3 separate regions of the Mus musculus genome follow, and all the other regions are reported to be linked to region 1. The links are microRNA targets in miRTarBase. Many come from high-throughput screens and were not tested one by one. Region 1 holds a microRNA gene; each other region holds the end of a gene's coding sequence.
What was found. The annotated mature microRNA mmu-miR-5135 reads AGGUCUAGGUGGCAAGGGCGUCCU and lies in region 1 at 2,538-2,561, shown strand. An mRNA with a match to its seed (bases 2 to 7 or 8) in the 3' UTR can be bound and repressed. Matches are read on the target gene's strand: a 7mer-m8 pairs with bases 2 to 8, a 7mer-A1 pairs with bases 2 to 7 and ends in A, and an 8mer does both.

Region 2: miRTarBase lists Zfp37 as a target of mmu-miR-5135. Seed matches in the 3' UTR shown: 7mer-A1 at 2,810-2,816.
Region 3: miRTarBase lists Trim36 as a target of mmu-miR-5135. Seed matches in the 3' UTR shown: 7mer-A1 at 2,929-2,935 and 7mer-A1 at 2,188-2,194.

The regions. Positions count from the first base shown.
Region 1 is chr12:76,531,459-76,535,703 of GRCm38, reverse strand. Mir5135 (microRNA 5135) reads left to right here and starts at 2,492; the gene lies at 2,492-2,570. It overlaps Plekhg3 (pleckstrin homology domain containing, family G (with RhoGef domain) member 3), which reads right to left and starts at 2,144. Exons shown (of 19, transcript NM_153804.4): 1 at 1,886-2,144.
Region 2 is chr4:62,187,400-62,191,644 of GRCm38, forward strand. It overlaps Zfp37 (zinc finger protein 37), which reads right to left. Exons shown (of 4, transcript NM_001290351.1): 4 at 2,138-4,245. The coding sequence ends at 3,765. Among named protein-coding and RNA genes, the nearest start is that of Zfp37, 19 kb to the right of the region's middle.
Region 3 is chr18:46,163,731-46,167,975 of GRCm38, forward strand. Trim36 (tripartite motif-containing 36) reads right to left here. Exons shown (of 10, transcript NM_001170855.1): 10 at 1,570-4,037. The coding sequence ends at 3,683. Among named protein-coding and RNA genes, the nearest start is that of Gm52355, 23 kb to the left of the region's middle.

The DNA.
Region 1 (4,245 bases):
TCTCAGGACCAGAACCTGTACAGGGTGGTGAGTGGGGTGGGAATAGCAAGCCCTACATCTGGGACCAGCACCTTCCTCCCTTCCCTCCGGGTCTGGCCATCGCTCAGGCCGTGGCCTTTGGCCTGTTCTAAGCATAAACACGGTGACCCTGAGATAGCAGCGGGTTTGGTAAAGTCAATATTTACTCTGGGACTATGATATTACAAGCCAGAGAGAGTGTAAACTGCCACAATTGGCTCCTGGTGTCCACCATCTCCTGTGTCACACATGGGGTATAACCAGCAAACATGTAAGGGCTCCTTGTAGCCACTACACAGCTATTTTTTTTTTTTGATAGGAGTTTATGGACTACTTCTCATACACCCTTCTCCCCTTTATTGTTACCACATCCCCTATAAAGAAAAAAGGCTGCTCTGTATGGAAACTGAGTCAGAAAAGATAAGTGAGTGAGGAGAGGGTGAGATCTGGCTTCAGGCCAATCATGTAAGAAAAAAAGCCTCAGACCCGATCAGTCTCTGATGTGACGCAATACAGCCAGCATTAAACCTCTAGCAAAAATCCTGTCGGACTCTCAGCCCAGTGGTCTTCCCACTCTCCTAGTCGGGCCACCTCTGATAAAAAGTCAATAGAAAAGCCCCAAGGCCACTCTAAAACAGACTACCACCCTTATCAGCCCAGACTAAGTGAAGGGGTGAAAGCGGATTTCCAGCACCAGCGGGAAAGTCCAGAGAGTGCGGCCAGCAGAGGCAAGCAGGCATTTAGTAGTCTGTCTACATGAGAGATGGGGTCTGTGAGCCATCCAGTGAGCCCAGAACCATAAGGAATAACAGCAGCGCCACAGTTGGCTTTCTGGTATTTAGTCCCTAGGTTTTATGCTGAGCATCTATAACACAAGATTCCAGTTTAGCAGAGGGACTGGGGAAGGCCAGGCACAGCAGGGAACATCGCCTCTCCCTCTCAGGCTGTCATTTTACTCCACACTAATTATTTCTGAAGGGTTCATTGTGACTGGAATGCACTCTTGAACAAGCACAGTTTGGAAGACTGGGAACCCTAAGACTAGGGTTCTCTGTAAGGTGCTCTAGTACTGATCGGTTGCTGGGAGGGTTAACAATCTTAACAGCCCTTAATCTACCAAGAGTTTAGCGACTCTAGACGATATACTCTCACCCAACTTTTAGCACCACCTCGCAGCGCCGCTTTCTCCACCCTCCAACCATCATGCGGCTTGTTCCGGTTTTTTTTTCCCCCCTTTGTTTTCAAAAGTAGCCGCAGAATAAATCGTTACCACCAAAGGAGCATCTTGAACGACTGAAGCTTGAAGCTTCCCAAATCAAAGGTCTGAGAGAAGGGTGTGAATAACCAAACCAGTTGAAGGGAGTGAAGGAGAGGCTGTTAGGGGCAGCATCAAGGGGCTCTAGATTTGCAGCTCCTGGACACTTGGCTTCTGACACCCACTCTAATCCTCCTGGACATGCAGCTGAGATTCCCAGAAGCACGGTGTGGCACCAACCCAGAACAGACTGAGTGCCTGCGCACTCCTGGGCTGGCGGGACCAGAGGCGAGTCCTTCTAGAAGAGCCCACAGTCTCAGGCAAGCACTAGCCCACGGGCGTCAGGGCACACAAGGAAGGGGTGGCGGGAATGTCGAGAGCTGCCCGGATTTCAAACTCTGCAAAGCCTATGCTGCTTTGGTTTCCGGGGTGGGGATAAAAAGTGACTCCCCTTACGACCTTCCCGCGACCCAACCTCCTCCGAGTGTGTCCGAGGCAGCTCGGGGCCAGGTCCTCATCCCACAGAGGGCTAGCCTGGGGTCTCCGCAGAGCGCTGCCACTCAGCCAATCGAGCATGGGCAAAGAGAGAAAGGCAAACCTAGGGACACTCACCAAGCGGTGGCCGCCCCGCCGGCTCGCGACGCGCCAGGCGCGCGGGGCTGCCCAGGTGGCGCCGCGAAGCGGGCTCGAGTTTGAAAGTCGCTCTCGGAAGCGGCAGAGGCCGCCGGCCGCTCCCGCCCACGGCTGGCCGCCCCGCGGTCCCAGCCTCTGCTCGCTGCGAGCACCAGACGCCGGGGGACCCCCGAAATGCGCACGGTTCCCCAGCACCGGGCAGGAAGTTGCGGCCGGAGTCCAGGCTGCGGCGGGAGGGAGGGAGGGAGAGAGAGAGGGAGAGGGAGGGAGCCAGGGAGGGGCGGACCAGGAATGTTTCCAGTGGGTGGAGACTGCGCTCGCGGCTGCGATCCAGCAATTGGCGGCTCTGGGGGGCCCGGGGGAACCTTCGCGGCGGTGCGAGCGAGCTGTGGCTCCCGCTGTAGACAGCGGCCGCCGTGGCTAATGATTAACGCGCGTGGCCCGCCGTGTGGGTCCCGCTGGCCGCCTCCCCTTGCCACCTGGAACTCTGGGATCCCAAGGCGCACGTGGTGGGGTTACTCTAGTGCCACCGCCCTGATATCACGCCGAGAGGGCAACGAAAGCCTCCAGACCAGGTTCCGACCAGAGAGGACTCGGAGCCCAGCCACCTAGACTTTCCCAGGAGAAGCGCAGGTCTAGGTGGCAAGGGCGTCCTGGTCCTACTGGAGCAGGTCACCACGACCGCTGAGTCAGAAAGGCACGTCTCGAATTCCTCGCCGAAACTAGGTTTCGGTGGCTCTTTACAGTTGTAAAATCTTACCTTCTGAGGAGAAAGAGATAAGAAGCGCATAACTTGGGGCGGGGCGGGGCGCGGCGCTCAGTGGGACTGTTAATGAGAAAAACTGATCGAGGAACCTGAATGTCAGTGGACCCCATTTTGAGTGCGATCTATCAACAAAAGGCATGTACCGGGAAATTAGGGGATGGGAAAATTGGGGGATGATTAGCACAAGCACATAGAATACAAACCAGTTAGATTTTGAGCAAGAACATAAATCTTTTGTGTGGTTTTTGTTTTTGAAGCAGGATTTCAATTATCTGAGACTGGCAGAGGGTAATCTTGAGAGTAATGGTTCTCCACCCTCTATCTCCGGAGTGCTGGGATTACTGGTGTGCACCACCACGCCCTAATTATTGTTTTTATTTTATTTTTTGATTTGAAACAGGCCCACACTTTGTAGCCCAAGCTAGCCCAGAACTCTTGAGTGATCCCCCAGAGTGCTAGAATTATAGGTGTGCGCTACTACACCTCACTAAGAATAAATCTTTCATTGGTAAAGATCTTAGGGGAGGTAGCATTAGATGCTGTCCCCAGTACGCACCATGAAGAGGGGTAGGAGATGGGAGCCCAGTGTGAGATCACAGAAGAAGTAGGACTCCTGCGTTAAACGATGGCACCAGGTTCTTGGAACAGGAATGGAGAATCGACCCCAGTAACTCAGCATTTAGACCGCCAAGTGTAGACAAGTGAAAATCCTAAATAGCTTATAAAATCCCCTCCTCCACCACTGCCCTCAAAAAAAAAAAAAAAAAAAGCTGCCCCAGGGAAAAGCAAGCACCTAGTGATTTACGGGGAGGGGCGGGGCAGAGAGAGAGGAAATGGCTTTCAGGTGACTTTGAAACGGGATCCCTGGGAAGAGTAAAGATTAAAGTAGTCCTTGCTCCTGACTGCGGGAGGGCCAGAAAGTAAGGCTCACGTTACTTAGTCCACAGGTTAGGCTTGAAGAGCGGCAGACTAGAGGACAGCACTGGTGAGAAACAAGATTACCCGGGAACGGGGGAGAGAGATAAAACTACGGGGTGGGATGGGAAAGGGAGAAGCCCCACTCCTTCCCACCTCGAACTTTCTGGGTTTCTGGTTTCTTCTCTAATCTGTTAAATCTTACCAGTCCTTTCCTACTAATCTTAAACTCCCAACTTCCAAAGACGTCCCCCAGCCCCAATCCAGAGATTTAAAACTTTTGAATGTATGACTGGCTCCTTAGCTAGAAAAGAAAAATAAAATGTTGATGATAGTAATGGTTAGGGAATGGTGCTACCAAGTGCACTGCACTTTATAATCACTAAGGCAGGAATACACTTACTCCCATTTTGCAGGAAGAATACTGAGGCTCTAAGGATGGAGCAGTCTGGCCAAGATCAATTGCATCAAGGGGCGTAGTCTGAGGGGGCGACACTGGAGTGCTTACTGTGTTAACCTTTGAGCATTTTACAAGAACAATTGCGGTTACAGGAGAAACTGAGGCTTGGTCATACTGCTAGTGGGTGGTAGAGCTGGGAGTTTCTACCCACAGGGAAAACTGCATTTAGCCAGCCAGCTCTTTCTCCACTTCCTTCTA
Region 2 (4,245 bases), not on the chromosome of region 1:
TCAGATTTTGGTTAAATATGAGTAGGTGACAAAGAAAACCCTTTAAGCAGCTGAACTTAGTGAAAATTGCTTTAGGTCTCCTTGGCCAGCCATTTTGTCCAGGCTGGCATTGTCTGGCATCGTTCCCCACACCCAGCCCAGGTGTGGTTTTTTTGTTTTGAACTTTTTTTCAGAGAAGAGTGGATTGTAGATTGTGATGGTTTGAATATGATTTGCCCATGGGAAGTGACACTATTAGGATGTTTGACCATGTTGGGAAAAATCATCACCGTAGGAGTGGGTTTTGAGGTCCTATGCTCAAGTTCCACCCCAGTGTGGATGGGAGTCCCCTCCTGGATGCCTGAAGAAGACAGTCTCTTCCTGGCTGCCTTTGGATCAAGAGATAGAACTCTCAACATTTCCAGTACCATGTCTGCCTGCACACTGCCTTGTTTCCTACCATGATGATAATGGACTAAACCTCTAAAACTGTAAGCCAGCTCCTGTTGTGGAAAATATTAAAAAAGAAAAAAAAAATAGATCCCGTACATTCCCACACTTGTGTTTCTGTACCAGAGGTCTGGCTGGACATGCACTGGCAGGCAATGGCTGACCTGTTTTTATCTCATGAAGATTCTGACTCAGAACTCCACAGTCTTTCCACCCAGCTTGCTGTGGGGAGTGGGTGTGATGGTAGTCCCAAGATGGCACCCAGGACTGCATCCAAGTCTTATGACTTGCACCTGACTTCCTCATACACCCGAAAATAAGCCACATCCATCTTGAGAGCTGTGCAGGCACACTATGATGCAAGATCAGGCCATTTAACAAAGGCCAATGAACTGAGATTACTCGGGCTGGGCTGATGGGGCGTGGTTGAGAGGTTATATAGGGGATTGCGATTGGGGGCTAGTGAGAGATTCCTGCTTGCATGTTGAAAGGTTCCTGAATAAACTACTTTGAGAAGAACGCTGTGTCGTCGCTCTTTTCTGCTGGTCGGAGACAGAAGAGACAGCTTGCTAGGTACCTGCTGACATACATCATTACCACCTCAACCCCTTGCTTCAAATCTCCCATGGCGTTTATAGTGCACATCTGGCAAACCCATCCTTTGCCACTGTACCTTTTTCTCTCTTGAATCCAGACAAGCCGCCATGTGAAGGAAAACACAAAGTAATTTCATAAACAATGGTAACTCAATCTCTGGATGCAACAACTAAAACCTAATCTTGTAAGCCTTATTAAAATCTGATTCCCCTAGTGTCCAAACCTTGCAGATCTGCCATGGTACCAGAAAACTCTAGCAGCTACATCATACCCATATGCTATTCCCATTCCAAAAGGGCTGTAACTCTCTCCTGCTTCCCCTCTTCCAACCTAGAAGTCCTGCCTACCTGCCCAGTGATTGGCTCCTTTATTCATTAGGAGATTGGTCCACAAGAAGTCATTTGAGAATGACTCACTTCTTGTCCACAACCCCTCCCAGGAAAGCAGAATTAACATACAAACAGGACCAGGCCCATTCACAACAAGCCCCAATGAACTGCTTTCCTTTATAAGAGCTAGCTTGATCATGGTATGTCTTCAAAACAATGAAACCCCAACTAAGACACAGATCACTGACATAAAAGAAAACAATGTAAAACAATTAGAACAACTTAAAAGTGCTACCCCACTCACCATTGGAGTTGCCACCCTGGGCTGATAGTCCTAATGATAAAGGAGGCTGAACATGCTCTGAGAAGCAATCCAGTAAGCAGTACTCCTTTACAACCTCTTACCTCTAAGTTCCTGCCTTCAGTTCCTGCCTTGCCCTCCCTGGAGGATGAACTCTAAGCTACAAGATGAAATAAACCCTTCCTCATCTCCAAGTTGATTTTAGTCATGGTGTCTTATCAGCAATAGAACCTAGCTAACACAGTTTGCAATGGCAGACAGGTCTCTTGGAAAAAGTCAAACTGATGTACACTACCTTCTGGAATGCTTTCCCAACAAGCATTCTGAAGCAGACTCTGTGAGAAGCTGAGCAAGGGATCCAGCAACAATATCTGCTACTGGGCAAGAATGGGGTGTGGAGGCATTTGTTGAAATACAGCCGAAATTCTTGACTAAGACATTTGTGAATTAGCATTCTGAATATAAAATAAAATACCACTTTCACTTTCATTCATCTTTAGTTTTTAATAGCAAATAAGAGAAATAAAATATTGTTAACAGTTATGACTCATGTTAACAAAAATCTGTGCTCTATAGGAAATTCTTTGTGAATTCAATATCAAGGTTCAATGCCATATGTCTTAAATTCATTGTTCATAAAGGAGCATAGAAATCTTATGTCACTTTTTCAAATAACACTGTGAAATAGACTCAGCTATTGTTTTAAATTGTGTTAATTTGCACATATGAATGTATTTTTATATAATACATATTTGAATTAGACACATGTACATGATAAACATGTCAGACCTCAATGCTGCACTCTTGTGTTCAGTGGAAGCCACCATTAATTTTCTTATAGGTTAAAAAAAAGTCTATTCATATACAAATATATGGGGATAAACACATATATATGTACACAGAGTACAGGGACACACATACACACTCTGTCCACAATGAGAACATACTATATAGATGGTTTAACAATCCATTTTCTATACTTAACAATATAACAAGTATCACTCACTATCAACACATTTTCAGCTGTTTTCCACTTTTTTATGAACCTCTTAACAAAATCTAGACAAAACCCCTTAAAGTTTTCTACTGAAGTCTTTAAATCTAGCACTTGGGAGGCAGAGACAGACATATCTCTGTGAGTTCAAGGTCAGCCTGGTCTACATAACAAGTTCAAGGCCAGCCTGGTACACGTAACAAGTTCCAGGCTAGCCAGGACTATATGGTGAGATATTGTCTCAAACAAAACAAAACAACTCCCGAAAGTTTTCTACTAATTCAGAAGCTAACAGAGACATTAACAAAGAAAGCTAGACAATACCAGAGGATACCCTCACCCTCACTTGTATTTTACACAAGGCGGTAAGTATGCAATAAGAATAAATACAAATTAAATACTAACTGTGGAGCTTAAGCACACACCTAGAAAGTTCATGAAGTGTCATATTTTACTGTTTGTTGCTCTAATTCGTTAACATTTTCACAACTGTGTGTGTGTCTGTGTGTGTGTGTCTGTGTGTGTGTGTGTGTGTATCTGTGTGTGTCTGTGTGTGTGTCTGTGTGTGTGTCTGTGTGTCTGTGTGTGTCTGTGTGTGTACATGTGTCAACCTTGAGTACTGTTTCTCAGGAACCCTCTACCCTATTTTTAAAACAGTTCTTTTTTCTTGTGACCTATGGCTTGCAAATTAAATAAGTCTGGTTGGTCAGGAGTTCTCAGGACTCTCCTGTCTCAACTTTCCCAATTGTGAGATTGCAAGAGCATGCCCCCACATCTAGCTTTTTATCAATCCTTAGGGATGGAATTCAGATCTCTGTACTTGCTTAACAAGCACTTTACTGATTATGATATCTCCTTATTCACTCTTTTAAAAGATTCGTATTTTAATCTAAATATGGAGACAATTTATAATAAGTGTAAAAATACAGTATTTTCTGTTTAGGTTTGGGATCAAGGTTAAATTTTATTACCATCTTATGTAAAGATCCATATTCAAATTCTCTCATGTATCACCAGGAATGATTTCCTAAAAAAAGATATTCTAACATCATCAAATTGAGAACATCTTTAAGGTTAAATAATACCAAACCAGTCAGTTGTCAGGTTTCCTACATTAATCTTCTTCCTCAGATTGTTCTTCTGAGTGAATTTTCATATGTTTGGTAAGAGAGGCATTTTGCTTGAAGGCTTTACCACATTCAATACATTCATAGGGTTTCTCTCCAGTGTGGGATCTCTGATGAATAACAAGTTGTGATTTTGCATTGAAGGCTTTTCCACACTCATAACATTCAAAGGGTTTCTCCCCTGTATGAGTTCTCTGGTGTACGATGAGGTGTGACTTCTGACTAAAGGCTTTCCCACATTCAACACACTCATAGGGTTTCTCCCCTGTGTGAACTCTCTGGTGTTGGGTAAGGCCTTCAATCTGTTTAAAGGCCTTACCACATTGATTACATTCAAAGGGGCAGTCACCTGTATGAGTTCTCATATGGTAGGTAAGAGATGAGCTATGTCCAAAGGCTTTCCCACACTCATCACATTTATAAGGTTTCTCCTTTGTATGAGTTCTTTGATGTATAACTAGGTGTGAC
Region 3 (4,245 bases), not on the chromosome of region 1:
ATCAGTCCTGTTTCCTGACCTGCTTGAGTTCCAGTCCTGACTTCCTTTGGCGATGAACAGCAATGTGGAAGAGTAAGCCAAATAAACCCTTTCCTCCCCATCTTGTTTCTTGGTCATGATGTTTGTGCAGGAATAGAAACCCTAACTAAGACACTAGAGTTGGTTATTTGCAAAATATATCGACAATTGACTAAAAGATTTGCTGGGTGGGATTAATCACTTCAAATGCTTATCTGCTGAGTACCCATTCCAGGCTTTATGCTAACAGCTTTCTGTGCACCCTATTTTAACTCTGGTAGCGATTTAAGAGAAGTGTATCAGTTGCCCATTTCAAAGGACAGGAGATTGAGAGATCAAAATCAGCTTTCAACAAGCTCTTCAAGTTATCTGTGTTCACTGGGAAGCAAGCGTCATGAGCTATCAGCCAATCTGGTCATGGTCAGGTTTACTACCTAAGTTCTTACATTTACTCCACAGGAGCTGCTTTTCAGTGTTATGTAATAACAAAAAAATCGACCAGAACCCTACTATCCTGCTTTCCCGGAAAACAGGTCAGGCTTTTTAATTAACAAACTGAAGTAACCTCAGATTATTAATACAACCCTCCAATGGGGAGTGGATGAGCAAGTCATTATGAAAAAAAAAAAACAAACCCTCAGTCCTGTTGTCTGAAAACCAGCTAAAGATTGAGTCAAAAGGCAGACAGGCAAATCCAGGGTTGTGCAAGGTGTGGTTTATTAAAATCGTATGGAGAGTTTAGTACGTCTTAAGTGGTGGCAAGTGCGTCTCTACACTCCAAGGTAGGAGGAAGGAATTTATGGAAAATAAGACAAAGATGAGTGGAATCCAGCCTTAATGTACTTGGCCTTTAAAAATAAAAAAAGTTAACAGTTAAGAAACCATCTAGAGTCAGCTAAGAGCTAAGGTGCTTGCTGCCAGTCTGGAGATCTGAGTTTAAAAATCCAGGTTAGATACTGTGAAAGAAAAGAACTGACTCTCCATAGCTTGTTCTCTGATACACACACACACACACACACACACACACACACACACACACACACACCTGCACGTAAGCACACAGGCAAACCTGGTAAAATGTAATCAACTGTGGACCAGAAATGACAATATAAGCAGACAATTGAAATAGATCAGCTGCATCATACTAGAATTAAATAAATGTTCAAAATAATAAACTAACATATGAGGTTAAGAGTACTGTGGACTGGAGAGATGGCTCAGCAGTTAAGAGCACTGACTGCTCTTCTGAAGGTCCTGAGTTCAAATCCCAGCAACCACATGGTGGCTCACAACCACCTGTAATAAGATCTGACTCCCTCTTCTGGAGTGTCTGAAGACAGCTACAGTGTACTTACATGTAATAAATCAATAAATCTTTAAAAAAATAAATAAAAATAAGAGTGAGTACTGCTGGTCCAGGAGTCTCCAGTTCCTTTCCACGAGTGCTGGGTAGATCACAATCACCTCTAACTCTGGCGCCAGGGCATCCGCTACTTCTGGCCTCCATGGGCGCTCACATCCATGTGTACATGCACATTCGCATACATGTAATTAAGAATAAATCTTTTTTAATTAAAAAAATTAACATGTGCCACAAAGCATCTTATAGTAAGTGTTCTGTTTCGGTTTTCCACAAAGCAGAGTAAAAAATCCCTGTAGTGCAGACTTGAATAACTACACTTGGCTTCCCTTTATTTATTTATTTTTTATTAAAAATTGAAATTCCACTAAGCAATTTCTATAGAGTGATACAGTGTTTGAACAGCTTCCTTCTCTGACTCCTGTTAAAGCTTTATATTTTAAAACGTCTACAGGACATGTGCTCACATGAGTATTGAGTATCACACTAACCCACACACGGGTGACACTAGCAGCTTTATTGCACAATGACCCAGGTAACACTGCACATTCTCTCTGTTTCCTATGTCATAAAGTGCTACATATAAATGGGAGAGGAAGGACAATCACTAAACACAAATCCTCCACACCTTTCTACACGAGCTTAGGGGTGTGTGTGTGTGTCAGTCAGTGCTGCGTCAGACGCAGTGTGATTGGCCTAACAGGCTTCCATTAAAAATAATCAAATAGAGCCGGGCAGTGGTGGCACACACCTTTAATCCCAGCACTTGGGAGGCAGAGGCAGGCAGATTTCTGAGTTCAAGGCCAGCCTGGTCTACAGAGTGAGTTCCAGGACAGCCAGGACTACACAGAGAAACCCTGCCTCGAAAAAATAAATAAAATAAACAGCTTTGGTTATTCTACTAAAATGTTAACATTCCATACATGATCAGTGCTGAAAACATGTCTTAGTGTCTGGACATTTTAACTTTTAAAAAGGCAATTCAAATAATCAGAAGGTAATTTTGCAGAAATTAACATTCAATGTAGAAAAGATATAAAAACTGACTAGACACATCCTTGTGATTTTCCATATTATTTCCTAGGAATTTTGTACTTTACTGATTCACACTACAAGTGCTTATGACCACACAATGAGCCCACAAATAATGCCATCCAACTGGACAGTAGTAACATGTAACATGTCTGGTATTTCAATGCTGCTGAAAATGGGCAGTGAACTTCTCAGATTTGTAAACAAAAACCATAAAACCCTGATGTACAACATAAGTACCAAACCCATAAAATTCACAAGACACAAAGAGACACGTGTTCACTATCAGTCCATCTTCCCTAGTAATTCTGAAAAATAATTCTTTGCTATAAATATGAATATTTTCTAAAGTAAGAAAATTTGAAGATAACATTTCCTGGAAATAATTATATTGTAGTGAAAAGTTGCACGGGTTCAAGAACCCTGTGTTTTTATATGAAACGATGCTTGTTACATGTGCCAGACAATGGGCATTACAACAAGGACACTGTTAGAGATGTCCTTACTAATACAGTCTGTGGTCTACAGGGAAAAAAGCAGTATTCATTTGCCAGGCGATGAATATTCTCAGTAGTTACACACTTTAAAATACACAACTTTCTACTTAAATATACTACCATTTTATGGCCTTTGTCATTTTACCTATCTATAAATTTATTTTTCTATTAACATCAAATGCAAGACACATGGCTTAGTACTAGTTTCTATCAGTAAGCATTCAAAAATATCTTCTCTTTGGACATGAACATGATACAAAATGAAAAGGAAAAAAAAAAAAACAAGCTCAAAGAACCACAATAAATACTTTGTATCCCACCCCAGCCCCCAAACAAAGGGACATGAATAACCAATTAGACTTACATCAATTAGAGTCCCTGTGGCCAAAGAGAAGGACTTCCATTGTAAAGTTATCTATTCTAGACCAGTTAAGACAGAAAGCCTCCACTCCCACCATTTGTAATAGGTAGGACAATGACGTGGAAGAGACAAGGTTGTGAAGTCCTTCTGAGTTTTAAGAACCATACACTAGCTGGGGATGGTGGTGCCCACCTATAATCCTAGCCCTCCAGAGGCTATAACAGAACAGAGTTTGAGGCCCGCCTGGACTACACAGCAAGACCCTGTGTGTCACAGCAGGACAAGACAAAACAAAGAATCACACAGTACAAACAGGTGTGGTGACAGAGACGTAAATGATATGTAATTAGATTAACATCAAGGCATGGCTTTGTTCACGGTTCTTATCCTCATCAGTCACGTGGGGTGTCCAAGCTACACATCCTCTTCATATTCCAGATACTTTGCTGTGATGGCTTCCTCAAGCTGAATTCCTCCGCTGCCCATCAAGGCAAAGGCCGGATACATTGTATGCGAACAGTCCACCTGGCGCTCATACAGGCATTTCATGTGGTCCATATCATAGAAGCTCACTTTGCCTTTATCACAGTCAAGGAAAATCCCTATACTCGTTGGCATGGGGAGAACTCTGTTTTCTGGTTCATTAGAGGAAGTAGGTGACTTGGGTATAAAAAATTTCTTCATGCCTATAGTAACTAATGTAAAGGGCTGTGAAGAATCAAAACAGGCGTCCTCGCTTCCACTGTCATGTCCACTGTCTTGCTCATATCTACAACACAACAATAAACACAGTGACTCACCTCCAGCCACAGTCTCGCAGGGTCTTCAACATACTCAAAAAATAATGCACACTGCTCTAAAGTTAACACACACACAAATGTTCCATGAACACACCTAAAGCACAGACTATAAGTTGTCCTGCAGAGTTGTCCTCTGTGCTCAGTGTCAAATTCACCACAGTAGCATCCATTTTTATC